Diceros bicornis minor: one gene and its partners. The protein of the gene in region 4 purifies or fractionates together with the protein of the main gene of each other region. This does not show direct contact. Links are inferred from orthologs where the notes say so. Each region holds a gene or a part of one and is shown on either strand. Other genes may lie near its edges.

Evidence for each region.
Region 1: the proteins of DPF2 (region 4) and ARID1B purify together in Homo sapiens (affinity purification with mass spectrometry; 7 studies listed by BioGRID and IntAct, counting the BioPlex papers as one, with this or other methods). This does not show direct contact. The link is inferred for Diceros bicornis minor from reciprocal best matches to the Homo sapiens genes DPF2 and ARID1B.
Region 2: the proteins of DPF2 (region 4) and SMARCD3 purify together in Homo sapiens (affinity purification with mass spectrometry; 3 studies listed by BioGRID and IntAct, counting the BioPlex papers as one, with this or other methods). This does not show direct contact. The link is inferred for Diceros bicornis minor from reciprocal best matches to the Homo sapiens genes DPF2 and SMARCD3.
Region 3: the proteins of DPF2 (region 4) and SMARCA2 purify together in Homo sapiens (affinity purification with mass spectrometry; 6 studies listed by BioGRID and IntAct, counting the BioPlex papers as one, with this or other methods). This does not show direct contact. The link is inferred for Diceros bicornis minor from reciprocal best matches to the Homo sapiens genes DPF2 and SMARCA2.

The regions. Positions count from the first base shown.
Region 1 is NC_080778.1:12,667,700-12,674,606, forward strand, and holds the start of ARID1B (AT-rich interactive domain-containing protein 1B), read right to left. Parts: upstream 3,016-6,907; 5' UTR 2,722-3,015; coding exon 946-2,721; intron 1-945. UniProt on the Homo sapiens protein: Involved in transcriptional activation and repression of select genes by chromatin remodeling (alteration of DNA-nucleosome topology).
Region 2 is NC_080742.1:96,904,017-96,911,141, reverse strand, and holds the start of SMARCD3 (SWI/SNF-related matrix-associated actin-dependent regulator of chromatin subfamily D member 3), read left to right. Parts: upstream 1-4,107; 5' UTR 4,108-4,240; coding exon 4,241-4,318; intron 4,319-7,125. UniProt on the Homo sapiens protein: Involved in transcriptional activation and repression of select genes by chromatin remodeling (alteration of DNA-nucleosome topology).
Region 3 is NC_080761.1:26,386,258-26,393,527, reverse strand, and holds the start of SMARCA2 (probable global transcription activator SNF2L2), read right to left. Parts: upstream 3,019-7,270; 5' UTR 2,919-3,018; intron 2,357-2,918; exon of another isoform or gene 2,190-2,356; intron 1,232-2,189; exon of another isoform or gene 1,131-1,231; intron 1-1,130. UniProt on the Homo sapiens protein: ATPase involved in transcriptional activation and repression of select genes by chromatin remodeling (alteration of DNA-nucleosome topology).
Region 4 is NC_080770.1:7,847,527-7,855,107, forward strand, and holds the start of DPF2 (zinc finger protein ubi-d4), read right to left. Parts: upstream 3,022-7,581; 5' UTR 2,962-3,021; coding exon 2,930-2,961; intron 1-2,929. UniProt on the Homo sapiens protein: Plays an active role in transcriptional regulation by binding modified histones H3 and H4. Is a negative regulator of myeloid differentiation of hematopoietic progenitor cells. Might also have a role in the development and maturation of lymphoid cells.

The DNA of each region.
Region 1 (6,907 bases), on a different chromosome or scaffold from region 4:
AGAAACAGCAAGAGCGCAGGACACTTCCTAATAACGCAGTAGGACTCGGGTGACAGCAAATTCAAGAAAATCCAAATAAATCCGATCCCAAAAGATCCATTTTCACTGCTCTGCTATTTTCCTGCACTTGCTGAATAAAAAGTGTGCCTCGTCCATGATCAAAATAAGTTCAATTTAACCGGAATGTGTTGCTTGAACACAGCCTCTCTGTTGAAGGTGACTCCTTTCAAGCAGCCTGGGCCAAATAATGGATTTCCTGGCTCTTCTTAGGAACGAATAGCTATATTTTAGAATATTTTCCCTCCACATCGTCGTAAATGCGGGTCTCATTTTTGCTACCGAACCGTCAAACTCAAAGCCCCGCATCGAATGTCTCGGCATGGCTGGGCAGAACTACGGAAAACATCCTCGGAGGCCACAAAGCTAACCTATTTTGCCTGCCTCCACCTTGTAAGCTAAGAGGGAACGCAGTGGGGCCGGAGGGAGGACAAAGTTCCCCCTTCTTTTCCCAGTTCCAGCTTATTGTTGGCGCGAACCGGGAAGACCTGGTCAATATCTCCGTCCAGCCCGCACTGGCCGGGAGCGCCTGTTCGGTTACAAAAGCGTCGCGCCGTCCCCGACTCCCGCACGCGGGCCCCGCGCCTGGGCCGGGGTGGCGAGGCGCGGCTGCTCGGCCACCGGGAACCCCGGCGCCCGGCCCGGCCCGGCCCGGCCCGCGGCGAGACCCCCTCCCAGGCCCCGGGGTCCCCCGGCCGCGCGCCCGGACATCGTGCGCTCCCCGGCCTCCGAGGGAGGCAGCCGCGAGTTAAGATGGCTTTGGGCGCCTCGCCCCCGCCTCCCCCGGCAGAGGACGCGGAAAAAGTACGCGGAAAGAAAGAAACTAGGGCTCGCGGCGCGCGCCCAGGCCGCCGCGGCGGAAGCAGGCCCGGCCGGCGCGGGGGTTACCTGCGATCTGCCCATGGTCGGGCCGGGGGTGCCGGGGCTCATCGCCGGGTGGCTCCTTTGTTGCGCGGCCGCCCAGGCCGGGCTGGCAGCGGCGTACTGGGCGCCCATGTCCTTGCCCAAGCCCATGCCCGCGGCCGCCTGCTGGCCGCCCGCCGCCGCCCCCGCCGCCGCCGCCGCCGCCTGGGACTGGGGCTGCGACGGCGGCGGCGGCGGCGGCGCGCTGGGGCTGCTGTAGTCGGGGTAGCTGCCGCCGTAGCTCCTCATCATGGGGCTGGGCGAGGTGAGCAGCTGGTTGAGGGTCGGGGTGGCCCCCGACGGGTGCTGGTTCTGCCCGGCGAAGCGCTGGAAGCCCCCCGCCGCCGCTGCCGCCGCCGCGCCGGCGGCCGCCTTGCTGAGGCTCGCGGCCCCGCCGCCCCCGGGGCCCATCATCATGCCGCCGCCCTGCTGCCGGGGGGAGCTCAGCACCCCGTACCCCGAGGACGAGCCCCCATAGCCGCCGCCGCCGCCGCCGCCTCCCGCTGCTGCTGCTGCCGCCGCCGCGGCCGCCGCCGCCACAGCTCCCGCTCCTGCTGCTCCTCCTCCTCCTCCTCCTCCTCCTCCGCTGCCTCCTCCTCCTCCGCCGCCGCCGCCGCCGCCGCCCGCGCTGGGCCGGCTGTAGCCCGGATAATGGTTGTACTGGCTGTTGGGGTACCCTTCGTGGGAGTTCTGCAGGGGGTCCATGCTGTTGGGGGCCCCGGCGGCGGCTGAGGCGGAGTGCATCATCCCCATCCCGGGGCTTTGTTGTCCGCCATGTTGATCAAAGCAAGGCCCAGCGCGGCCGCCGGGGCCGCCGCTAGCAGGGGCAGCGCTGCCATAGTAATTGTTAAACTCCGGGACGGCCGCCGGGCCGCCGCCGCCGCCGCCGCCGCCCCCGGGCACGGCGACCGGCGGCTGCTGCGCGCCCAGGGCGCCCAGGCCCGGGTGCTCGTAGCGGCCGCCCGCCGGCTCCCCCATCTTGGGCGGCGCGTCGTCCTCGTCGCCCGGCTTGCTCAGCAGAGGCTGGCCCGGGGGGTCGGCCTGGCTGCCCGCGGCACTGTCCTTGGCGCCTCCATGTTGCGGCTGCTCCATGTCGGGACCGGGCTGAGCCGCGCCGCCGCCCGCGCCGCCGAGGCTGTTGTTGTTGGAAATGGGATGTTGCTGCTGCTGCTGCTGCTGTTGCTGTTGCTGCTGCTGCTGCTGCTGGAACTGGTTTAGCTGCTGCTGTAGTGCGTGGTGGTGGTGGTGGAGGTGGTGGGCATGGTGGTGGTGGTGGTGGGCATGGTGGTGGTGGTGGTGCTGTGCGGCGGGGGCTTCGCCAACGGTTTTCAGTTTGTGGTTGGGGAGCAGCCCCGTCTCCATGGCCGAGCCCGGGCCCGCCGAGGAGGAAGAGGACGCCGCCGCGGAGGAGGAGGAGGAGGAGGACAGCGCGGCGGCGCTTCCAGCCTCCTTGAGAGCCGCCTCGGAGCCGCCGCTCTTGGCGCTGTTGGTGCTGGCGGCGGCGGCCGGCGCGCTCGCGTTATGGGCCATGTTCAGTTCGTGACGGGGGTGCAGGGGGTGGTGGTGCACACTATTCAGGCCGCCGCCGTCGCCGCCGCCCCCCAGCATGGGGCCCGGTGCCGCCGCCGCCGCCGCCGCGCCGCGCGCCCCCGCCTCCAGGTCCCGGGCCCCGGGCGCCGGCCGCGGCCCGGGGGGCGCCCGCCGATCGCCGCTGCCCGCCCGCGCCCGCGCCGCCGCCGCCGCTGCTGCCCGCGCGGCCATGATCGCCGCGGCGTGGCCAGGCCGGGCGGGGGGCGGGGGGAGACAATAAAACCCACTTTTTAGGCGGCGGCCCCTCCTGTGCGCATCCACGCGCCCCGACGGGAAGCGAGCGCGCCCCCTCCCCCTCCGCAGGCCCCGCCGGAGCCGGATCGGGAGTCACGCCTTACGGTCTGGGCCCGTTCCCGCGGGGGGATTTCATGGTGAAAGTTTTGAGTTCAGGTTTAAATGCAACTTTTTTCCTCTCTGCCCCGGATCTGGGGAAATACACGCCCGCCGGAGCCTCCCGGGCCCAGCAAGGCAGGAGAGGGAGCCGAGCGAGCCGAGCAACTATTATCCACTTCTCTCTGATGACTCGGTGCACTCGCAAAACGCGGACTGGACTCGGCCCGGGCCGCCGCCGCCCGCCCCGGCGCAGGCTCGCGGGCACCGGCGGCCCCGGGTCGGGGGCTCGGGCCGGCCCGGCGGGCGCCCGGGGCGCGGCGGCGTGGGGCGCCGGGAGGCTGCACCTTCCCCTCGTGCCTGCGTCTCCTTGCCGACCCGGCGTTCGCGTGTTTGTTTTCACGTCGGAAAGGCACGATCCAGAGGTGGAAAACGAGTCTGACGAGCAGACAAAAGAGGGAGAAGGGCTGGGGAACAAAGTTGCCGGTCGGCCTCGAAGGTTCCGAAGAGCCGCCGGAGAAAGAAAATATTTGGGCGATCTGGGCAGAAGATCGCTGCCTCGCCCAGGAGTTATGTAATTTTTCAGAATGGGAGCCTCGCTGTCTTGATGGCGGGCCGTCCGCGTAATTCCCACAACTTCTTCAAACTGCAAAATTAAGGGAGAGTTTAAGGGAAGGTTAGCCGCCTTCAAGGCGCGCTGTGCCCTGTACACAGCAGGTACTCAATACATGCGTACGATTGCACCTGCCCCAAAAATAATGTTGATATAACTTTTTAAAGGCACTTTATGTGTGTGTAGGCTTATCAATGAAAACTCAAAGTATTCCCAAAGGAGCATACAATGCACATGTCTGTTCTCTGGCTAAAGGGAAGTCCTCAAGTATGCAGAGCGGTGTGTTATGCTCCCAAGCACTTGCACATGGAGATTGAACTCTTGGTGCCATAATAGCGACAGCTAAGGTTTATCTCATATCTTCATAAATCCGTATGACACCTTTCATCATATTTCAGAGGTTAATGCTCACAATTAACCCTCTTGATGTGAGTTCATATCTAAGCAATGTGAAACAAAACTAAAACAAATACATGCTATATTTAATAAACATAAGCTCAATAATATCAGTCAAATCTAATCCTAGAGCAGAAATGTTTCATACTTTGTTCTTTTCAAAAGACTATTGTTTTATCACATTATGATATTTTAAGTGTTTTTATTATTGGAGATTCATCACCTAGGAACATTTTGAATTATCTTTACTAGCAGGACTTCTTAACCTAAGCAATGGCTCAGTTGTACTAGTGTGGACTCAGTTTTCATCCAGAGAAAGGCTTTGAAACCAGAGCTTTCAAGAGGTCACTGTAGCTGAAATAATATGTATGATTTTGGTAGAATGTAGTTTTCTAAAATAATTTCATTCTTAAGCTTTTCAGGAAGGCTCTTTTAGTTGATTTCAACTGCAGTGGTTATTTTTGTTTGCTTGACCAAATGCAGGTATGTTACATGACTAAATAGAAAAGGATAGATGGGAAAAACTGGGGACTAACTGGGGGGAAGGAGAAATCAGGGGAATCACCCAGGAGTCATTATAGAGTGTAGAAACAACAAATTGAATTCTATGCAAACGACTGAGAAACGGGTTATAGCATCATGTGTAAGAGAGAATAACAGAACTGTAAGATGAATTCATGCCAAATCATTCATCAGTTTTTGCCAAGAGAATACTACATCTTTGTTAGTATACCTTTTTGACATTTTCTCCCTTTATATATTCAAACCCATACTAATTATATGCATTACAGCACATAAGTTGAATTTTTAAAGTTTTTCATATGCAAATATAAATACGTCTGTTTTGTGTATGTGTGTATATACATGTATTCTAAAACCAATTACATATTTGTGCTTTTAGACACTTATAGTCAAACTAAATATATACATACAATCATAAAAGTATATTTTTTCTCACTGATAAAATATATCAAAGTCAATTCATACAAGTGTAGCCATATTTGGTGGCTTATTTTCACAGCTAATCCTAAAAGGGAAAATGAGTCACCAAGTTCAGCTCTGGCCCGTTTCTTAAAAATATTTTTTCATGTGGATAAATCATGAAACTAAAAAAAAAAAAGTAAGGATATAAGTTGAAATCTCTTTTAATTCCATTTGCTTCTGCAAGTCAACTAGAAGATTGGAACCAAGAGGCTATGAAGTAGAGGCCCTCAGCACAATGAAATCAATCTGCTATAAAAGGCGACACATGCCAGCTTCTCCTCCCGGATGGCAGGTGCCACACCCTAAAACAGACAGAAGGCACTGCAGTCTGTAAGAAAAGCACAACACAAAGCCAGCAGGACTGGGTTTTGTCTTTTAAACCACAGAGAATGCTCAAATACCTTTTTTAAAGCATCTTGCTGAAGATAAGTAGTGGGATCTGATTTATTCAGCTTGTACTTTTCAAACACACCTTCTCAGGAAAACAAAATAAAAGCCTCTTAGAGTTCGCTTTGAAAATCCAGGACTTAATAAACAAAACGGCAGTCGGCCAGGGGTCTGTTTAGAAAGTGAGGAAATAGGTTCACATTTCACAAAAGCACAATTTGAACTATAGATGATCCTTTCTGTTGTGTCACTTGCCTTGATTATCCTATATGGCAATTCTACATTATTGTTTTTTGGATAATATAAGGTACTAGAAACCACCATGTTCATTTTTCCTAATGAATTCCTTATTTCTACACCTCTTGCCTAAATTTCAAACCATAATGACAACTTTAGTAAGTTACTCCAGCCACAAGGCAGCCTCGCAGGTGGAGGCCCAAAAGCTGCCGAGTGGCTGCACTAGGCTACAGCCAACTCCCACCCACGGGTTGCCCCACGCCCTCATGTTTAGCCAGAGGATTACCCATTATTTTGTTAAACATCCCTTTTTGGCTACAAAAGGGTTTTGGTGGGTTTTTTTAACTATATGAAAAATTAATATTCAAATACTGCTCCTTCTGAATAAGTTTTAGGGTGCTGAATAAAAGCCTCTTCAACTTGCCCACTTAAAGAGGATTGAGCCAGATGGTAGTTTAAGAATGCCACAGCTCTGTTCTTTTTGCCTCATCGTGGCCCATCATACTATTTGCTTTCAGATTAGCCCCCTTTTGACTGTTCTGGTTATTTATTCGATAACTGAAACTAGCACGATTCACTACCCATCATATTTCTCAGTATTCTTTCCGTAATTTGGAAGCAATTTAGAATAAAGCCCTGTCAAGGTTTTACAAATAAGAACTATTAAAGAATAAGGCTTTGGACACTTGCTTTCCTTTTAGATTTATGAGAAATGCAATGAATGGAGCTAATGGGATTTCCCTACTGATCTTGGTCAGAGACTTTAAAAAGCACTAAACAATTGTCCTTTTCACTTCTCCGATTTAGACGTTAGCAGTGAATAACTGAGTAAAAGCAAGATAGGGCATATAGCATTTGATTTGAAACAACAATGCAAATTAACAGTGGCCTGTAAGCTTAGGATGCAAAACAATTAGATAAGATTGAAAAAAATCTGGGCAAAAAATAATTTAAATATATTTGGGAACCCTGACCAATGTAGCACTATTATACTTACTAAGAGTATTATAGTGGGGATAATAAACCTGGATGAGGATAAACTACACTTATTCATTCAACAGATTTATCTAGAATCTACTTTGTGACATGCCCTGAGAATAAAAAAGATAAATATTAGCTTGGTCTTGTCCTCAATAGGAGAGAGAAATAATTATCCTAAAACACACTCAGGGCTGCCCTGAAATGTCACGGAGGACTTGGCCAGTAAAGAAACAAGCTCTGGGGCTGGCCAGGTGGCGTAGCAGTTAAGTTCGAGCTCCGCTTTGGTGGCCTGAGTTTGCAGGTTCGGATCCCGGACATGGACATAGGCACCGCTTATCAAGCCATGCTGTGGCAGCGTCCTATATAACGCAGAGGAAGATGGGCATGCATGTTAGCGCAGGGCCAATCTTCCTCAGCAAAAAAAGGAGG
Region 2 (7,125 bases), on a different chromosome or scaffold from region 4:
TCCCTGGGGGCCTGGGACTTAGGCCAGGCAGGTAGGCTGGGTCAGAGCTGCCTCTGGGGCCCCTGGCATGCCCTGGGGTTTAGTGACCAAAGGAGAAGGTGGGGGCTGGGTTTAGGGATGCGCCAGAACATAGAAATCACTGGGTCCGCAGCCTGAGAGCTCCAGGTGGCCTCACTTGCTCGCTCGCTCGCTCGCTCGCTCGCTCGCTCTCTCGCTCTCTCTCTCTCTCTCTCTCCCCCTCTCTCCCTCTCTCTCTCACATACACACACACTCACACGCGATGTCTTTCTGCTAAGGAAGGCTTTATTGCTAGGGGTGTAGGGTGTAGGGAAAAGGGGCAGCGGGAAGAGGTCTCTCCCTTCAGTCTGGTTTCCTTTGTTCCTCCCTTGCCTTCCTCCCTCTCCCCTTCCAGCTTCCCTCCTCTCCTCCTAGCCGCCTTCTTCCATTCTCCCTCCCCCTCCTCCCCCCTCCCCCTGAGCCGGTCCCCGTAATGGGACCTCCACAGAAGGCGGGGAGGGTGGGACTCCGGGCTCCGGCCCCAGCCTCGGTGGCCGTCTTCCCGCAGGGAAGGAGTTAAGTCTCTTCGCTGCATCCCTCCTCCCTCCTCTGCCTCTCCCCGCCGCCTCTGAGTCCTGCAGCTAGGCCCTGGGCTGACCTTCACCGGGAGGGAGGCCGCAGTGCGCATGCCTGGGCCGGCTCCGGGCCGGCTCCCGCCGCTGTCCCGGGCCCCCGCGGGCGAGGGTGAGGGCGGGCGGCCGCGGGCCGGGACGTGCCCCCAGCGCTCGGGCGCGGTGATGGTGGGGGGAGGGGGCGCCGAGCCCATCCCGCTGGCCGCGGCGCATCTCTCCCTGCGCGGGGAGAGGCGCTTTGCCATTTGGTGCTGGTGGTGCTTCGGCGAGGGAAGAAGAGATGGGGGGACGGCAGGGGGGACTCCGGCTCCGGGCCTCCGGGCGGCCGCCCTGTGCCCGGACACGCGCACGGCCTGCCCGGAGCTCGACCTGGGCCAGTTGGCCGCGGCTAAGGGCCCGGTCCGGCCTGGAGGACAGCCCCTTGCCTGCTGGAATCGGGCTTTCCCTGGGCCTCCTTCCCACCGGCAGGAGCCAGCGGCATGGCACTGCTGAGCGCCCTTCTGGGGCTGAGACTTCGGGGTTCCTGGCCTGTGTGAGGTGGGAGTCCTGGTTGGGACATCCACACTGGCGCCTCTGCTTTCTAGTCTGAAGGGTCTCCTGTGTCCTTACACTTAGGGTTGCCCCCGTAAAAGCAGCATGCAAACCTGTCTGCTGGCGGGTGCCTTGTGAATTGGGCCTTGCAAGTGGGATGTGGAGGTGATCAGGGTGTGCCTGTGTGTGAAAATCTACGTGGCTCCTTGTCCCTTTGGCGTTTGCATTGGTGTGTGCCTTGGGGCGTGTATGCACTATATATCTGTTGTCTGTGCACACATAAGAATGTCTCCCAGAAAGGGGGCTGCAGGGGGAGGCCCTGGTCTTGGGGTGGCCCTGGAGGGGGTTATCTATAGATTTGAATGACTTGTGGGCTCCTCCTCAGGTACCACCAGAGCCTTTGGTCTAACCACCTCCTGCAATCTCCTCCACCACCAAGACCAGCCCCTCACAAATGCTGGGTGTTCCCACTGCCCTTCGTGCCCTTCCCTCAAACTTTTCAGCTGCCCAGTCTGGGGTGCCCATCCACCTCCTCTGCTGTCTTCTTTTCCCAAAAGGCCTCTCCAAGAGTTGAGAACTCTGAGCTTTACACAAAGCCTAGAGGTGACTGCCCCTGCCCAGTCCCCCAGAACCTCCAAGACCTGTGGGTTCATGTGTTCATGCTAGAAGCACCCATGGGGGGTGGGGTGCCCATGGTGACTCACACGTCCAGGTAAGTGTCAGAGCATGAGCTCGGTCCACTGGCCCACTGAGCTTTGGGTGGTTGCAAGCGTTAGCAGGCATTTGGTCATGTCAAGTCCCTGTGTCCAGGCATGAGGGGAGAGTGGGACTTAAAGACCGGTCTCTGACTTAAGGGAGCTGCAGCCTATTTGGGAAACCAAATCTAATATACGTGAACCACAGGGCACATCAGACATTAGTCAGTCAAGTGCCAATTCATGGTGCAGGGTGGATGGCAATGGGCATTTGGAGAAGAGAAAGACCTGTGCATAGGAGTGGGACCAGGAAGGCTTCCTGGGGGAGGTGGGGCGAGACATGGGCTTTAAAGGATGAATGTGATCTGGACAGGCAGAGGAGCAGTAGAGGGATTCCAGGCAAAAGAATAGCTGGAGCAGAGGCTTAGAAATGGGAATGAGTGACAGGTTTTAGAGGTTAGTGGACAAACTAGAGAGATTACCTCTCCAGGTTACCAGTAGCCACCTTCATGGCCTATGGCAACTGCCCACCCATCCCCACCCCACCAGGGCCCAGTCTCGGTATGTGTGGCTCTAGGGGGAAGCCTGGGTAGAGATTTAATAGGAATGGAATCTCTAGGTCCCCTGCTAAGCCGGCCGTAGAGGAGGGGTGTCCTGGACACACGTCCTCTCTGGCCTTTCAGGGGATTGACAGTGGGCACCTAAACGGACAATGACAGCCAGGTGCACAACCAGGGCCCAAGGGAGTCAGGCCGCAGGCAAAGAAGGATCCTGGAGCAGAACACTCCCTTGGTTCTTTGTCCCAACCTCTGAAGGCATTCTGAAACATTGAGGGTCAGGACTCCCCAGTGTAATGCTGGGTCTGCAGGGTTTAACTTCAAATAAGTTTTCCAACACATTCCCCCAGGCATCGCCCCATCCTCACCTAGATTCTGACAGTGCAGCCCCAGGAGGCCCATAAAGTTGACCCACTGTTGTCCCAAAGCCATGGGCCTCTCCTCCAGGAGGAGAGAGGGGTGTGGCCTTTGGAGGCATGGGCGGGGCCAGGGCTCCCAGCCTGGGGATCTCAGGATTTGCTCCTCCTGTTTCCTGTCCCTCCTGTACCCCAGGGACTGCCAGCTTCCTCTGCATTGCCCCTTCTGGGGCTCCCTCATAACCCCATAACCCTGCTTTCTTTGGGGTTTTGAGGCTGGCCCTACCATACCCAGCCGGCCCAGCTCCCCTGGTCTCCCACCACCAGCCCATTCCAAAGCCATCAGGGCCTGCTTGCCTCACTTCCTCCACCCATCCACCCAGGCACCCACCCCAGCTCCTTGCCTCCCCCATGTTTCTCTTCCTGCTCTTGCCAGCCCAATCCACCTCCCTCTTTCTGAAATACTTCCCCTATTGCCCTCACTTTCTCACATAGAGACAAACAAAGACACATACCCAGAAATAGACTCACACGGCGCTGGAAGACACAGGCCATGTCCTGCCACACACGCACCCGCACGCGCGCGCACGCACTAGAGGCTCTCGTGGAGGGAGGCACACAGAGAAGGCATTTGTCTGTGCACGCACATAAACATCCACACCCACAGCCACCGCGCCGTGCCCACACAAGGGTGCAGACACACACGGCGGGCGAGACAAGGGCGCACACATCTGTGGACGCAGGGGGACACCGCCTCGCTGGGCACACCCACCACTGCCGGCCTGGTGCAGGAGGAAGGCCTCCTCTGGGCTCCGGCTCCCCCCGGATTCCTTCCAGAGAATGTTTCCCTACTTGGCCTGCCAGGTCTCTGGGGAAAGGGCCTCAGAAATGCAGCAGGAGCCACTTGGGGGGAAAGTTGGAACTGACTGTTCCCTGCCTGGCCCTGCCGGCGAATTCTCTAACCGAGAAACTATTTGTGGCGAGAGCCCGGGTGGCCGGCGAGCCCCTCGCCACCTCCCCTCGCGTCCCCTCCCCGCGGCCCTCGGGCAGCCTCGGGCTGCAGTGGCGCTGCCCAGCGCCCAGGAGCCGGGCTTGCCGGCGTGCCTCGCTGCTTATCTGCGCTGTTTGGACAGCGAGGGTTGGAAAGGCAGGCTTTTCTGTCCCCGCCGAGTCAACAGGCAGACCCCGGGCCGCCGGACTATTTCTGTCTTATCAGTGCAGGAATGCGGCAGCCGCGGCGGCGGCGGCGGCGGCGGCGGCGGCGGCGGCGGCGGCGGCGGGCGGGCGGCGGCGGCGTGGGCCGTGGGCCGTCAGGGCAGCCCTGAAGGGGCCCCCTCCCCACTCCGCTCGAGTAGAAGTGTGAGAGAGCCCAGCAGGACTCAGAGGGGAGAGTTGGAGGAAAAAAAAAGGCAGAAAAGGGAAAGAAAGAGGAAGAGAGAGAGAGAGTGAGAGGAGCCGCTGAGCCCACCCCGATGGCCGCGGACGAAGTTGCCGGAGGGGCGCGCAAAGCCACGAAAAGCAAACTTTTTGAGTTTCTGGTCCATGGGGTGGTGAGTGGGGGAAAGTTAGCGGGGGAGGGTGAGGAGCTGGCTCGGGCTGAATGGAGGGATGATCGGGAGGGACCAGCAGGGGGGTCCCGCTCTCCCACCCCTCTAGCTGGGGGCGCCAGGGCCCGCGGCCCAGCGCCACCACCGTGCTGGCGCCCTGGCACCCGAACACGTCGTCAGGCGGCCGGCCAGGGATGGGTGTCCGGGCGGGGAAGGGAGGCGTTTGCATGGGTTCTTGTCAGGGGATGGGGGTGGGACTTGGGGACTGCCCCCTCAAGTGGGGGTCCCCTCGGTACCAGACATGTTGTCTTCCGTTCTTTTCCTTGTGGGCCCAGGTGTTACCCTTGCCCTAGGGTGGGGGTGGGGGACATGGCATCGGCTGGGCTGGGCTGTCTGTTCATCCATTGGGACAGTGTCTCTCTGATGGTGTCTTGGGAGCAAGGAGCAGGTGACCCTGGAGGCACTGTGAGCGGGAAGCTTTCTGGCTGAACAACCTCTGCATCCTGGCAGGAGGGCTCTGGGGCTTCACTGATGGACTCTGCCATCAGGGTCAGAGAGAGGCCTTCTCTAGGGACAGACCCCAAGTTAAGGGATCTGAGGATCCCCTTGGCAGACTCCGCCACCAGAAGCTGATGTCCTTAATGCCTCAAAGGTGTGAAGGAAGGGCTGGAGTCAGGTACACAAGGCCTAGAGACCAAAGGGGCAGGGCAGCACGTCCTGCCATGAGCAGACTTGGAAGGCATGCAGGGAGCCGAGGGAGCCCAGGACAACCTGCGGGGATGGGAGCTTCAAGCTGAGGCAACAGGGGCCAGGTTGGCAGGGATGTGGGGGGCAGTGGAATGGGAGAGGCAGGGGCTTCGGGACTTGGGATGGGTGCTGGGGTTGGAGCCGGGTATAGAGGAAGCAGTCAGGTTTACTATGGCCAAATTTGGTTGTGACCCCAAGGAAGGCATGTTCTCAGTGAGGGAGGCCAGAGTCCCTAGAATCTTGGCCCTTCATTGGTGGCTGGCACAGCTCTCTGGGGGCTCTGGGAGCCTCCCTCTCAGGGCCTCTTGTGCAGATCAGTGAGTATCGCTGTCCTTGATAAGTGGGAGAGCATCTGGTAGGGAAAAGGGGCTTCCCTGGGGCGGCCTGTCCTCCAGCCCCGGGGATCTCTGGGGTAACTTCCCAGGGGTGCCTGTGTCGGTCAGCCAAGTTTCCAGTCCTAACCTTGCTGCTTGGGGAAGTCCCTTTAAAAAGGCCCATCTAGGAGGGAGAGCGGCTATGCACATGGATTTTTTTATTTGGCCAACTTAGAGCTTCAGTTCTTGGGTGGCTGTGAGCCCCACTGCCCCACTCCCCGTGCCCCATATGTGCTCGTAGGGAGTGGCAGTGCCTGGGCTCCATTCTGGAGTGTGAGTGACAAGGTCAGGTGGGGTGGGGGAGGCCAACACGTGGGCAGGCAGGTTTCACTGTGGGAGAGATGGGCAGAGACAGCTGGCTGGCGGGGGGCGTGGGGGGGGGCATTGGTTAGGGTTAGACATAGTGCAGGGCAGGAGGGACAGGAGGGAGAGTTGGCAGTTAGAAGGGATTCACCAAGCTCAGGCTCCTCCTTGTGCCTGGGGGCAGCTGCACTTCTGGGGGTGCAGTGGGTGGTGTTTAAATGATAACAGGGTTACAGGGTCTGCATCCTTTGCTCCCTAATCTCCTTCCTGCTCTCCTGTCCCAGTCCCCATCTCACCCACCCTCCACTTTATAGCCCTCTGTCCTTCCCCAATCCCTCTTCTGGAATCTGGACAAGTAAGGTTTAAGAAGGCTATGGAACACTTCACTCAATGAACTTGCATCCCAGTGGCTAGGGACTACACCTGCTTGTCTCCCTCTCCATGGCCCCCTTTGGGCCCTGCCTGGGGTGGGGGTGGGAAGTAGAGAAAGTCTGTAGGATGGGACCATCTCTGGTGATCCAGGCAGACAGGAAGAGAGAGATGGATATAAGAGAAAATGCTGCTGCCTTTGACCTACACAAGCCCTCTGGGCAGCCCACCCCCAGCCCAGCTGTCCCTTGCCCTCCCAATCAGAGAATCCTGGCAGGGTCTGGCCTCAGCTCACTCAGGTTGCTGCCAGCCCTGCCTCCAGCCTTTACCTTGGGAGCAAATTATGGGAGTGGGCTAAGTCAGCAAAGCATCTAGGTATGGAGACTTGGAATCAGCCAAAGGGGGTGGGGGTTGGGACTAAGAGGGCAAAAGCTGGGGCCCAGGGAGAAGAGTAGGTTAAGATGGGAAGGGTGAGTGCAAGGCAGGACAGTCCAGGAAGTGGACTGGGAAGCAGGGAATGGGAAGAGGGGCGGCAGGAGTCGCAACAGGGACCTCAGCCCCTAACCTAGAGGAAGCAGCGGAGGGCAAAAACCCTTGGCCCCTCGGGAAACGACTGCTCAGTGGCTGCTTTTGCCAGGAGGAGCGGTGTGACCTTGGCTAGGTCGCTTTTCTCCTTGAGCCACAGTTGCCTCATCTGTCAAGTGGAGATGGAAGGACCCACTCAGTCTGTCTTGCAGAGGAGCATGTGAATGTGCACATTCTTTGAAAAGGTTGAAAAGGCGCCGTTAAATATTCATTTTCATGGTACCTTCCTCAAATCCGAGGCTGGCAATGCCCTGTGCAGTTGCCTGGCTTCAGTTAGCTTTCTGCAGCCAGACGCAAAGCCCCCTCCGCCAAAGCTGCGCGGTTCCGGCGCTCCTGCCCCTCCCACCCCTCGCTCACGCCGGCGGCATCAGGGTCACTGGCCGGGGGGCTTGGGGTGGGGGAGACGCGGCTCCCTGCTCCTGGAGCCGGGGC
Region 3 (7,270 bases), on a different chromosome or scaffold from region 4:
TGCAAAACTCTCCCAAAAGTTATATAAACAAAGGAAGGGAGAAGCCCAGTATGGGCTTTGCACCCATGTGCTACTAAATTACATAACACCCGGTGCAGACATGAAAGAAGGAATGGATTCTGCACAACACCCCCATTTCCCTCGACTCCCAAGCCTGTCTCCTTCTCTTAAAAAATCCGAACGCCTGGCAAGACCAAGTGGACGACTTGGAATATTAATTTTATTGCTGGAGTAAATCCTGCGAGAGTTGGAGGCACGTTTAGGCCCGAAGTTTGAATGTGCAACAACCCCAAGGCGCAGCGACTCCACTCTCCGGACCCGGAGGAGAAAGAACTGACAAGCGACAGCAGCCAGCAAGGCCTTCTTTTTCCCTCTCACGGTGCCTCCCGCTGGAAAGTTTTCCACGCAATCGATCGGAAGACAAGGAGCCCGTTTCCCCCGCCTGCCTGACTTTGCAGGAAAGGCGAGCCGGCAGACCGGAGGGGGCCGGCAGGGAGAGCTGGAAAGCTCCGCACACAGCGGGGGGCGGCGGCGCAGGCTGCTTACCTGGGGGACGCCGAACAAAAAGAGGCGCGGGGCTGGCCGAGCCTGCAGTGGCGGCGCGGCCCGCGACCCAGAGCGGGTCTCCCCGCCCGAGCCCTAGGCCCGCGCCCGAGCCCGCGGCCCGGCCCCCGCCGCCGCTGCCGCTTCCTCCCTCGCGCGCGTCATGTCACGGCGATCAAACATGTCTGTGTGCGCTTCGCTGCTGTGACTTCCTGATTCTCTGCCGCTCGCGCGCGCACACTCACACTCACACTCACAGCCACACGCACACGCCACCCCCGCCTGCCCCCGCCGCCAAACCTCGCCTTGTGCTCCCCCGGCTCCCGGGGAGGGCGCGGGCAGGAGCGGCTGCCGGCGCCGCTGCTCCCGACGCACTGGCCCCGGCGCGCACAACACACACTCACACTCACGCGCAGACACACTCGCGCCGGCCCCGAGGGCGCGTAGACGCGAGCCGCGGGAGCCCGCCGCCCCCTCCCAACCCCCCCCACCCTACTTAGCAGCCTTGCCAAACTTTTTTTTTCCTGCCTGATCCACGTCCAACTTCCCTCCACCCCACCCCCCAGTCCGGCCAGCCCCGCGCTCACCAGGATCTGCTGCAAGCGGCAACCCGGATAAAAATAATAATGCAATCCAGGCGGCGGAGGCGGGAGCGAGCGCGCAGACACTGGCAGGAGGCGATTTCCCCGCGTGTACCGGAAACCGGCCCCAGTGCCCGGACCAGGGCGCGGGTGTCCCCTGGAGCCCGCACTGCTGCGCCCCGCCCCGCGCGGTGCAACTGCCCCCAGGCTGCAAGGCCTGGTGCGGGGCACCCGGGGCACCAGGATCGGTGTGCGCCCCGCGGCCGGAGGACGCCTAGGGGTTGGCGCGCAGGACCGATTATTTGGGGAAGTGCATCGCGACACCTTTGCAGATGGCATGGCCGTGTTTTGCAACGCAAACGGGAGGAGGAAAGACGGCCAATGGAGGGAGAGAGCAGAGGAAGGGGTAAACCAGGTTGGGATGGGAATAAAGCAAACTCGAAAGCAGGGAGCGAAAAGGAAGGGGTGCGTGTCATCGTTGGGAGGAGGCTCCCACCCGGTCTCCCCGCCTCCCGCCCTCGCCACCCACCCCCCACTCCTCTCCCCCACCCCCCCGCAGCCCTTCCCTTCTCCGGCGAACACCACCGCCGCTGCCCGGGTGCGCGCGGGTCCTGTTTGTGACAGTCAGGCAGAGAGGATTATCCGGATCATGGCCTCCCCGGCCCGCAGCCACGGCGGCTCTCCCGGGCCCCAGCGAGCCCCTAGCTCCCGGACGATCGCGGACGACCCACGCCCGCGGTTCCCGCGGCTCAAGCTAGGGGAAGACGCAAAGCAAAACAAACCCGGGGACGGGGAGGGCAGGGTAACTGAGCCCGGCGGGCACCCCGACCTCCTTCTTCGTAGCCTCCTTCCTCCCTCCTAGCAGTGCGGCCCGGGCCGGACACCCAGAACTTCAACATCCGAGCCCGCGCGGCCGCCAGGTACCAGGGGCAGGGACGTCCGCAGAGCCCCGGGTGCAGCACCCCTGCAGCCCCTTCGCCTAAAGGCCTCCCTACCGGTCAGCGTCCCCATCCCCGCCCGAGGGAAAGCGCAAAGTGGAGGTGACACCTCCGATCCGGCACGCACCGGCCCCGCGGCAGTGGCTGCCGCCTCCTCGGCGCGCCAGCTCAGGCTTCTCCCGCCGCGATCCGCTCGCTTCTCCGCAGCCGGAGCCCTTTAAACAAGTCCCCGGGAAGCGGGTGGCAGCCGCGTTCGTTGGCGCCTCGCCGCCAGCCTGGGCTTCTCGCCCTCCTCTCCCGCTCCCCTTCCAACTCTTCCGGGAGGACTGCTTGGGATGAATTGTCGCGTTTCCATCCTCCTCCCCTGTCCTCCTGCCTTCCCCCTCCGCCTCAGTCCCCCACCCCCGGCTTTTAAGGGGATGGGGGGATTGCAACCTTGCCGAAGGTGTGTGTGTTGCAACCTTGAGTTGGCAGCGCATCGCCGACTGGCTACCCAGGGTCAAGGCTGTGGTTTGTTGGGATTTTTCCCCCTCGCCTCCTTGAAGTAGTAATTATTACTGTTATTATTAGAACAGCAAGGTTCGGTTGAAACTTTCCCGTTTCTCCCACCGCCGCCCTGGAGCTGTCGTTAGAGCATTCCACCTGAGGCCCGCGGGGAGGAGGCGGGCTTTTTTGTGGTGGCGGTTGGCCCGCCTGTTTGTTTTGGTCTCCGTGCATGCACAATAAATAATAATTAGGATAATAATGAATAATCCCCAGCAAAGGCGGCGCGGTCCCGGAGGGGTTTGTGCGGCGGCGGCAGCGGGGAGACCGGAGGGAGGGGAAAGAGGAAAAAGGAGTTGTAAGTTATATTTACCTTGCTCGCGAGGAGTGTGCTGGCTGAATCTCTTCCCTCTCTGAGTCACCCAGAGTACAGAAACAGAGGGAGAGAGGACTAGATTATGAATATGACTTCATTGATGACAGCCATCCCCTCCTCTTCCTAAACTCGGGCTCCGCCCCGCGTCCCACCCTCGCCGCCTCCACGGGCGCCGGAAGACGCACCGCAGTTGGCCCCACGCGCCGCTCCTCCCTGCCCGCCCGGGCGCGGGTTGGCGGGACGCGCCTGTCACTCGCCCCGCTCAGCGACTCCGGGAGCTCGGGGGGAGGAGGGGGCGGTGTGCAAGAATGTGGCTCGAGACAGCTCTACTGTATGCGTGGATCCGTGTGTGTCTGCAAGGCGCCGGCTCTCGGGCCGTGTTTGTGCCTGGAGCAGAGAAACTGCGCAGGACGCAGGCAGCCCCAAGCCCTGATGGAGTTGGGCGCCGGTTATCCCTCTCCTGGCAGTACTCTTCCAGGGGCGCTGCCGAGCTCCTCCGGGGAGTCTGGGGAAGCAGAGCAGGCAAAGCGAAAGGGAGGGCAGCCGTAGTAATAGCGCGTAGTAGTTTGGGGGTATGTGGAGAAGGTGCTGGAATTTAACTGTGCCTCCGCCTGCCAGAGCCAGCCTGCAGAGGGAAAGGGAGGGGACAAGGGAAGGGCTCTGAGTGGCACCAAAGCTGTTTGTGACACAGTGTTGACCATGAAAAAAAACAGGCATTGTCGTGCCGGCTGAAACTTTTTCTCCCCCGTCCGTCCCCCGCCCAAGGCAGTAATTATAAATCTGCCCCCACTCTCCCCCGTAAAAAGGAAGGCCGGCACAAAGAACATTCCTGCCAAATCTGTCTCTTTTCTAAAGGATTGCAAGCTTCCAAATGCCAACGAGGGAAAAACAGCTGAGAGGCTGAACGCCTTATAAATAAAGAAGCCTGCCCTAACCCCTCTGTTTACTTGTGGACCAGACACAGCCCTTGAACCTTCCCTTACCTGTCATCTTCACGTAAAATATATACAAAAATATGGAAAAACAACCCCTTGGGGGCGGGGCGGGCGGGTTAGGGGGCAGTGGAAGCATGGCATCTGCATTTGATTTAAGAAGGGGAATAAATCTCTTATTCTCTACACACCATAGTCTCTTCTCTCCCACCCCACAGTTAAGACCAATTAAGGCTACCGACGGTAAACTGCTGGTGTTTTGCGGTTTTGAGACCTCTTGTTTCAATTTTCCGTGAAATACAGCACTTTGGCCGGACGATAGGTCAGTGTTTGCTGAGACAATTTTATTTTTAGCTTTATGAAGTGTGAAAGAATGTTAGGAGATTTTAAATCAGGGGCCTATTATTTTAGACTCAGATTAATGTAGGTGCTGGATTCTTAAAATTAAAACTGTTCCTGTATGGTAGTGTTATGAAAAGTATGATTTATCCCTTATTTTGTAATGTACTGGTTTAAATTAGTCATTCAAAGTGCACTGTGACTATTTAGTTGAGGATTTTTCCCCCTAGAGTAAAATCCTACTTTAAGACTATTTTACTGTTGCAAAATTAACTCTATTTGAGCAGTTGAGTCTGAAATGCAGTTCTAGGATGCTTAAAACTATGCACTGGATACGTTGAAGACAAGAAGCAATGGAAGGAACACCAAAGCCCTCATGTGGTCATTAAGTGGCTGGAATTGTTTACGTTGCTGGTCCACTGCTGGCAGAAGTAGAATCTGCAAGGGCACCATTGGGTGGCCAGGGGTGTCAATGGTCACCCACCCTGTAGGTTTCTCAGGCCTTGTTCCTTGCTTGTCAACTTTAGCTTCATAATTTTCTCTCTATTCCAAAGTGAACCTCAAAACAACAAAAGATAACCCATCTCAGAGAAATAGAATATAGCATGCCCTGAAGAATCTGTTGTAAGAACTTGTTTTTCTGCCTGAGGATATGCCAGTGTAACTATTAGCTGGGAAATATACGGCAAGAAATTTTAAACAAAATTAGCAATGTAGTAAAAATATAACTTCTAACTGCCTAATAAAATGCAACTATTAATATAGCCAGATAACCTAGTTGCCTATAAAAGGGCTTTAACCTAATGGCAATGCTTATTACATTAGGTAATATTAGGTTTTAATTTTTTCAGGCCAAATTTGTTTCCGTGGCATGCCAAACTCCCATGCCGATTTTCGTAAATTGATGACTTCACCTTTATTTCCTTGTGAATGAGTGCCCTTTATTCCTTTACGATTCCACGTTCATCTGCCATGCCAAATTTCAAAAAGAGAGCAATCATCTTAGTAAGACACTGGAGGAAGAGGCTGGCTATTCTTTCTGGCATTTTGTCAGAGGGAAAATAAAGAAGAAAACACTCCCTTTGTTACATGTGTATATTCTTCAGCTCATATAAAATTTTGATGCAGTACTTGGAAGGATTGGTATCCATGCATTATATGCACAACTTTGGGAATTGAAAAATAAAATCTATTGCTAGGAACAGAGATTAAATATAGATATTGCATCTCCTTTTCCTTTCACATTGGTCTAAGAAAGCACTACCTTCTTCCTTCAGGTCTGTCCTCTGAAGAATCCTCTTTTCTGTAGCTTGCACTTCAGCAAGTAGAAGTTTTATAAAATAAGGCCTATGCTCAGGAGAAATGAAAAGGCAGCACCATTTACTCAGTAAGAAAAGAAGTTTGTAGAACATATTGCATGAGCTTCATCTCTGAGATAAAGCTAAATTTAACAAGTGATGTTAAGGAGGAAAATGATGGGGTTCTTTTGTTTTGCAGAAAATCACACAAAAGCAAATATGGTTGGAGGCTAAAAGGACTCCAGGAGGCTGCACGGGATGCTAGATTCACATGAAGCTTTTCCTTTTGGACTTTGATGAGTCATAATGTATTCTCTGAACTTGCTTTTCTCTTTCTAGTTTGGCATCAAGGGATAGAAGTCACTTTTTCGTGTCTGTATGGCCACATTCACTTGTTATATAAGTCTGCTTTGGATCATGTTCTGAATAGAGTAGATATTGGGTTTGAAAACTGGTATCTTGTTACAACACCCCCATAAAGAAAAACTCCATGCACAAAGTTAGGAAGCTTCTACTCCCACCAGGCAAACTGTTCATGCCGGGTGAAATGTTGCCTGGCTTCAAATAGGAGCAAGTAAGACTATTTAGGAAATGAGTACTTCATCTACAGTAATGGAAACAAAACTTTGACAAAGTGAATCAGCCGACATTTAATTTAGTGGAGAGTTTAGAATTAGCAACTAAATTTATTACAGAAATAAACACTCCTCTCTCTCCTTTTTTCCAAACCACAGTCTCAATAGATTCTGTTTCTCCACAATCATCCCTCCAAAGTACCACCCCAATTCTGTTTGTGGTCATATCACTCTCTATCCTAAGAGTCTTTGTCTATTCCCGATCCATTATCTGATAAATTTCAGACTTCTTAGCATGCCATCCAAGCCTGTGTATGTTCAGATGTCTGCCAGCCTTGTTGACCTCATGCAATTGCCTGAGTTCTGGAAACCTGGTCCACCTTCTGGTTCCTAAGGGGCCATGTTGGATATACTTCCCGCAGACTGAAATGTGGGTTCCCAATCCACATCCTCCAAGACTCAACTCTGGCCCAGCAGCCTTCCAGTGGCCCTCCTTACCCTCCCCAGGCAAAGGAAGCCACTTGTCCTACTCTGCTCCCATAGCAACCTGTGTGTACCTCCGTTACAGCACTTATCACTTTGATGCGATTATTTCTTTGGTATCCTCCACTAGATGGCTAGTGCCTGGAGGGTGCAGAGCAAGTTCAATTCATCTCTGAAACCTGAGCAATTAGCCAGATGCCTGGCATGTTGTATGTTGTTTAAAAAAAAAAAAAAAAAAACTTTGTTGAATGGAAGGATGAGAGATATATATGAAAAATATCTGCAATAGAGAATTTAGCAGGTCTTCTTTTATTAACCATCATGTTAATGAACAAGATTACTAAGTATTTAGAATCTTTATGTTATTTTCCAAGCTGAGAAGGCTGATATGCTTTTGGTTTTCCCTTTTGCTTTGTTTTGGGTTTTTTTTGTAGGGGGAGGTAGGATGTGAAGTGAAGCTACAGCTCTTGCAGTCACATAAAGAGCATGGAAGGGAGGTTTTGTTTGGTTCATTTTTAAATTAGTCTAGGAGTAACATGAGTGTGTACATGGCAATTGTTTAATAGAGTAGTAGTAATTATAATAGCAGCTTGCTTTTATTTCTTCTTTAAATCAGATGCCAGTGTTTGTGCAGAGACCTCTATATATGCCATTTAATCCATTTGACCCTGTGAGATATGTGATATTATCCCCATTTCGCAGATGAAGACATGAGAGGCAGT
Region 4 (7,581 bases):
CTACCCACGAAGGTGTCTGGAACATCTTGACTTGGGAGTAAAGCGACCTGGCTTGGCTGCAAGTCACCACATAAACATGGACATTTAGTCAATCCATGTGGACCTCAGGTTCCTCTGCTACAGACTGGGGAGGTTAGACTAGATAAGCTCTGGCATATTCTATAAAAGGGAGGGTCCTAGCATGGGAAGCTGCACAGAGTAAGCCTCCATTGCTTACATCCATAACTCGAGCTACACCAACAAACCCTGCTCTGGAATCCGAGGGGGGGCTTTCACTGAGCAGCCACAAGAGACCACTTAGGCACAGCTTAGCATGTCCCAGCAACTGAAAAGGACACATACCACACACAAGGTGGTGACACCACAAGACATGCTGGCTGGAGTCAATGAGCTGTAATGACTGTAATCTGAGGTAGGCATGAATCTTGTGTTGCAGAGTGGAGAGAAGGGAACAGGCTCACAGTTGCTCGCCTTTAGGAGGCAGCCATGTCCTCAGCACACAGAGGAAAACTGGATAAACAAGGCTGAGTGCAGCAGCTCCTTTGTTTCTGCTGATGGGAATTGATACTGACACTGGAAATCAAATGGAAGGAAGGACCAGACGGCCTGAGAGCTGCAAAATCAGAGCAAGGAGGCTGGAAACAGTTTGTGGGGAATGGATGACAGATGTTCTATCCAAGTTCTTATGAGTTAAGTGGGATTTCAGAAGGTGGGGCAAACTGTCTTGTGAGTAAGAGAGCTGGGAATGAAACACTTAAGTTGGCGGAAGAGGATCTGATGAGGAGAGGGTAAGACAGTGTGAGAGAGCTCTTAAAAACTTAAGGCTCCTATCGTAAGAAATTTCAAGCTAACATTATCCTCTAGATCTTGCTACCTAACTCAGAAGGTTTCAAGACCAGTCAGCAGCCCCAGGTATTTTATACTATTATTTTACCCTAATAAGACCCTTTAAAGACTGCTTCAATTCTGACACCACATTTGAGAGGGACAGAGAATTTACAAATAGGAAAATTCTTCTCCCAGAATAAGATGCAAGTCAGAAAAGATGAGCTAGTAGTCCTGACCTCAACGTATAATCTCAGCTGTCAGAAAACAAAGCATACCATGATCAAGAGAAAGCCAGAAAAGCGTCTCTTTCCAAGGTGAGAATGGTACAGAAAGAATGGAAGCCACTTCTTAAAGGGAAAATTCTGTAGGAGAATGTATTTAATTGAGGTCCACAGCCCTCTGCAGCTAGGACTGAGGAGGAGAAAGTTGGTTTCTCATTACCGGTGCAGTACTCAGGAACCAGTGGCTAGTGACCCTCATAATCTCTACACCTCTTCAAAAAGAAATAAGAAGTCATGCTTTCTTTAAATGGGGAACCCCTCACTGCTAAAACTACAAGAAAGAGTTGGCAACTCTATTTCCCTGAAGAAAGTCTTCCAACAGAAAGAATCTCATTACATATAACTCTCAAAACCTAGGCAAGTCTGACGTTCCCCCAGTAAAGTAAGATTTCCAAGGTTAAAGCTTTGATTCTTTTTCGAGAAGCAAGAAACCCATGTAAAACCTCCCCTTATAACGGGATGGGGGGAGTCGACAAAAAGAAAGGCAGGGAAACAAAGAAAGAACATCTGAGTCAGGAAGGATAACTATATAAACGGTAGATCAACAGCGTCATTTCTAAATTGAGGGAAATGTCAGCCTGAAGAGAGAGCTGGGGAAACTAGAGTGGGCAGATCAGAGAGAAAGATAATAGTGTTGGGAGGAGGGGGATGAAAGAGGCAGCAGCATGGAGCTGAAAGCAGGAGGAAAAAAAACCACAAGAGGAGAAGGAGAAGGCACTTAGCTTAATGGAAGTGGGAAAGCATTCTCAAAGAAAAGGCTCCAGGCAGGAGGAGGGGAGGAGGCAATGTACTCTTAAAAAAGGCTCCTGGGAAGAGTGGGGCTCAGTCTAACACGAAGGCAGATGAAAAGCGGTGAGACCCTTAGAAGAATTCCCAAACCTTTACCTTGTCATCCGGTCAAAATCCAGAAGCCCCGACTGGACAACTAGCCACCTCTCAATTTTCCTACCCCAACACTAAGCCCAATTAACCCATGAAAAGGCGCTTGCTCTATTCGCCCATGGGGCATGAACCCATTTCAGAACTCATTCAGATTCTCCTTCGGGGAGGGGGCTGGGTGAAATCAGGTCCCAAAGCGTCTTTAACTCACAGCTCACAACCATTCTCCATTTTCCCAACCACCACCAACTTGGCTCGCGATCTGCCCAGCCCAAGGGGACTGCACAGCGCGAGGCCGGCCGACCCAGCTGCTCCCCCAGGCTGCAGGGGCGCCCTGGACGCTTCCGTCCCGGTCCCGTGTTTGGATGGCTGGGAGGGGAAGGCGCAAAGGTCCGCTCCCCTGAAGTTCTTTCCCTTCTGTCTCTGCTCCTCAATTCCTCCCAAGAATATTTTTGGTCCTGGGTACCAAGACCCCCGGCCCCCCCAACGTCACGGGGCTGTTTAAACAAAACACCCCGCAGGGCTTCACGGCGCCTGGGGCTCCAGGGCCGGCTGCGGGAGGCCGACGGGGAGGGGTCGGTCCCGGGCCGCCCTCGGCCCGGCTACTCGGACTTCGGCGTCTCGGGAGCGACATCGGGACCGCGCGTCTCCCATACGCAGCAAGGGTGCCATACTCCGGACACCGCGAGCCCGCCCCGCCCCGCACGGCGCAGGGGGCTGCCCGCCAGGGGCTCCCGTGTGCCCCCCTCAGGGCCTCCACAAGTTTCCAAAGAAGCGCAACGTCTTCTCCGGAGTCTCCTGTTGCCCTCCCCGCTAGGAGTCGCAACGCGGCCTTTCCGGTCACGTCCCTCTCTCCGCCTCGTCCTTTCCCGCACCGCCCCCTACTCCCAAGCCCCTCACCAGACCTCCCGGCCGAGAAGAGAAAAGAAACGACCACTCACAGCTTCACTACATTTTCCACCACAGCCGCCATCTTCCCTGCTCCTCTCCCTCAGGCCGGGAGGCCCGGAGCCCGCAGCGCGCAGGCGCCGGGACCCCTCCGGGGAACCAGTTTCCTTGTCTTTCTGCGCAGGCGCCGCCTGGGGGCGCGCGCGCGCCCCAGAACGAGCAACGGAGAACGAGCTTAGGGGCTGTTCGCGGGGGCCAGAGAGCCGAGGAGCCCGGTGCGCAGGCGCGGCGGACACGGGTGCGCGCCCCGAGGCTCCGGCTCGAGCCCCACCTCTTACATTTGGAGGAGCGGGAGGAGGGAGCAAGGCTGTGGCCTGGTCCAGAAATGAGAGGGCGAGAGGTTGGTGAAAACTGGCAGGCCGAGATGGGCTACGTGGAGCGCATGCGTGCGTCTTGGTACCTGGCCCACCCTTAACCTCCTGGTTAACCTTTTGCCCTTACTCACAGGCGGGAGTTGGCAGGTAGCGAAGGTCAGAGGGGTGCACAGTCCACTTGGGCCCCCAAACATATGTCCGTTTTAGGGAGAGGAAAATTAACCCCCAGAACTGGGCAGTTCTTTGCCCTAGATATTGGGGTCTGACAAAAGTTACCTCACCTTCCTACCACCAAACCCAGCCACCATCTTCTCTGGTACCTACCTCTTCTCCCTTGTTTCCTACTCCTCTCTAAGCTCCTTCCCTCCACTTATGTTCTGAAGACATTCCCTCCTTCAATTATCCCTCTCTCTCCTGTACCATTCATTTCTCCTTCACTATTGAATCATGCAAATTCATGTAGAAACATGGCTTAATATCCTCCTTAAAAAAAATCAGAGCCCTTCCTTTAGCCAATGTCTGCCTTCAATTATCACCCCATTTCTTTTCACTCTTTTAAAGCAAATATTCTGTTTATACTCCCTATCTCTGTTGACTTATTTCCAAGTCTCTTTCTGCCCAGGTTTAATGGGAATTTTGTTTCCACCAGTTCACTTGAAACAACTAACAAAGTCACCACCACCTCTGCTTCAAAAGATTTAGAGATTTCTTCTGTGTCCTCGTTGGCCTATCAAGCCCCGTGACACCATTCACCCTTCCCTCCTTTTCCAAACTCCACTCCAGGTCTGTGAGACACACACTATCCCAGCTGTCCTCCTGTCACGCTGGCAGTGCCTTCGGCTTCTTTTGCTGGCTCTCCATCCTCTGTTCCACCTATAACTTTCAGAGTCCCCAAGGCTTTGTCCTTTGTCCGTGTCATATACCTTATTTCATAAATTCCACAATGCACATATTCCTTCCTCTCCCCCCATTTTAATATTTCAGAATCAGGACACGTCTTACCATCACTGTGCCTTATAATCTTGTTTGGCAGATGGGAGTTGTGAGGTATTTGTCACTGCCTACCCTGCACCAAACTTGCAGAGTGGGTGTCGGTGGCTTGGAAGAAAAACCCAGAGACAACACTGGTACACTCTTCTACCCCTGGGAACCAAATGATTGTAGGGACAAAGGGTATCAGAGGTGACTCCCAAGCAGGAGTCAAAAGTCTGCGTTATAGCCTGAATGTTTGTGTAACCCCAAACTCATATGTTGAAGCCCTATCCCCCAATGTGATAGTATTTGGAGGTGGGGCCTTTGGGAAGTAATTCAGTTTAGATGAGGTTGTGAGGGTGGGACCCTCGCGATGGGATTAGTGCCCTAATAAGAAGAGGAAGACAGGTATCTCTCTCTCTCCACGAGGAAGGGCCATGTGGGGACACAGCAAGAAGGCAGATGTCTACAAGCCAGGAAGAGGACCCTTACTAGGAGCCCAATCTGCTGGCACCTTGATCTTGGACTTCCCAGCCTCCAGAACTGTGAGAAATAAATGTCTGTTGTTTAAGGCACCGAGTCTATGGTCTTTTGTGATAGCAGCCCAAGCCAACTAAGACAGTACGCTGGCACTAAAGCTGAAATACACCTATGCGGTGACCCAGCAATTCCCTTCGTGGATATATACACCAAAAAGCATGTACAAGAATGTTCACAACAGCATTAATTATAATAGCCCCAAACTGGGAACAACCCAAATGCCCACAACAGTAGAATGGATTAAACGACAATGAAAGGAACAAACTATTGCTACACAACAACATGAATGAATCTCAAAAACTTAATGTTGAATAAAAGAAGCCAGTTGTAAGAAGAGGACATATATTGTATGATTCCATTTCTATAAAGTTACATAAACACACACACTGGTCTATGGGGGTGGAAGTCAGGAGAGTGGTTACCTTTGGAGGATAGTGACAATGAAGGGGCATGAGGTGGCTACTGAGGTGCTGGTAATGTTCCTTTTCTTCATCTGGGTAGTGGTTCCACAGGTTTGTTCACTTTGTAAACGTTGAACTACACAAGATTTGTGTACTTCTCTGTATGTATATTTCAATAAAAATATGAGTAATAATAAGTAGGCTAGTTATATATAATTGGAAAGTCAGATTATGAGCCCAACCTCAGTGGCTTTCAGTTCTTTCAGGATTCTTTTAAGAAGTGCTACATCACTGAACAATAGATACTCCGCATGCTCTGAACCAGTGACCAGTATATATAGTGTTTCTCTTGCAGACGAGAACCAAGGAGTGGAAGTAGGGTCCAGCCTCTTGAAATCTCAACTAACGATTCTGCAAAATGTTTGTTTCCTGCTCCTGCAGCTCTGGGCTCTGGCTGATCTAGAGCCTTTAGGACCCAGGAGAGGAATGCTTCCACCAGGGGGCACAGTAATGATTCTTCTAAAACAGGAGCTGAGACTGCCAATGGGCCATTTTGCGTTCCACATGCCACAAGGCAAGAAAGTGAAAAGGGGATACCACTGTTGGTTGGGCTTATTCTAATCGTCAAGGGTAAATAGGATTGCTATTCCTCAGTGGGGGCAGGGGGAAATAGAAATGAAACCCGGGGAATCTTCTTAATGTTACGTTCAGGTAGTTAATGGGAGACAGGTTCCTGGTTAGGTATTTAATTCCAACCTTCCCACTAAAGACAAACTGAAAAACAGAAAGTGAAAAAAAATCTTAGGGGCCGGCCCGGTGGCATAGCGGTTAAGTGTGCGCATTCCGCTTTGGCAGCCCGGGGTTCACGGGTTCGGATCCCAGGCGCCCACCAACGCATCACTTATCAAGCCATGCTGTGGCAGCGTCCCATATAAAGTAGAGGAAGGTAGGCACAGATGTTAGCCCAGGGCCAATCTTCCTCAGCAAAAAGAGGAGGATTGGCATGTGATACTGGCTTAGGGCTAATCTTCCTCATACACACACACACACAAATCTTAAAAGTATTGAAAAGTTAATGATAAAGTGAAGAATTACTGGACCAACATTTAGAGGCTAAAACCCAGAAAGATAAGCCCAGAATTCAAAGCAAATTTTGTCCTGGGGGCATTTACTGATCTGGAAGATATAACTGTGAAATTGAGCTGTTATTTGGCAGTCTTTGGGGAGAGAGGGTAAAAAATTAAAACCTAGAGCCTGACCAGGGTAGGAAGTCAGATACCCCACCACAGACATATACACACTTTAAGAGGGACATGTAGCCCAGAATCATGTTATCTGGGTGGTCCAGGGAAGCTCGAGCCTTGAACTTGGATTAAAGTAGACCCATCTTTATAATGTCCCTAGTAAGCCGGCAGACGCAAGCATATTTGGTACCAAGCAACATCCTTTGTGAAGGAATGTACTGTCATCCTAGGCCTCAAATTATTTCTAACAATATTTTTTCAGATACACTATCCAGCCCATAATCAAAGATAATTAGGCACACAAAGAAACGAGAAACTTTGTGTAAGAATGGATACAAACAATAGAAAACCAAATTGACCCACAAAGATTTAAGATATTGGAATTATCTGATACCGACTATATAATAACACCGCTTACTATGTTTAAAGAAGTAAAAGATGAGCATAAAAATATCTGCAGGGAACAAATACCTAGTAAGAAGTGCCACAACAGAATTTTTAAAGAACCGCATAGAACTTCTGGAACTGAAAAATACAATAACCAAAATTAAGAACACAATGAATTGGTTAAAAAGTAGATGAGTCATGGCTGAAGAGAGAACAAGTGAACTACAAGGCAGAAATTGTCCTTAATACAGCATGGTAAAACAAAAGAACAGAAAATACCCAATTAGAGTAGAAACACAGCAGATATATAGAGAGATCTAACATATGTTTAATTGGAGTCTCAGAGGGTGAGGAGAGAGAAAGGGGCAGAGGCAATATTTAAGGAGAAAATGACTGATACTTTTCCCCAAATGATGAGAGATGCTAATTTAGAGGTTGAAGAAGCCCAAGCTTTATGGAAATAAAAGCTAAAGTATTTGGTATGACATTTCATGATATCTGCAACTTACTTTCAGAAGGTCAGGGAAAAAGTTTTTATATGTAAAGAGATAAAGCAAATGAGGCAAAATGGTAATAATTGACAAATCTGGATGAAGGTATATGGATGTACATTGTACTATTCTTTCAACATTTCTGTAAATTTGAAGTGTTTCAAAATAAAGAGTTTGCAGAAGAAGTCAATTCTATACAGGGAAATCCACCAAGGGCTCAGATTTTTTAAAAAAGAAGATCTGGGATATGTCACCTGGTAAAGAACCCTGAACAGTCAAGAGGCAGGCTGAAGGCA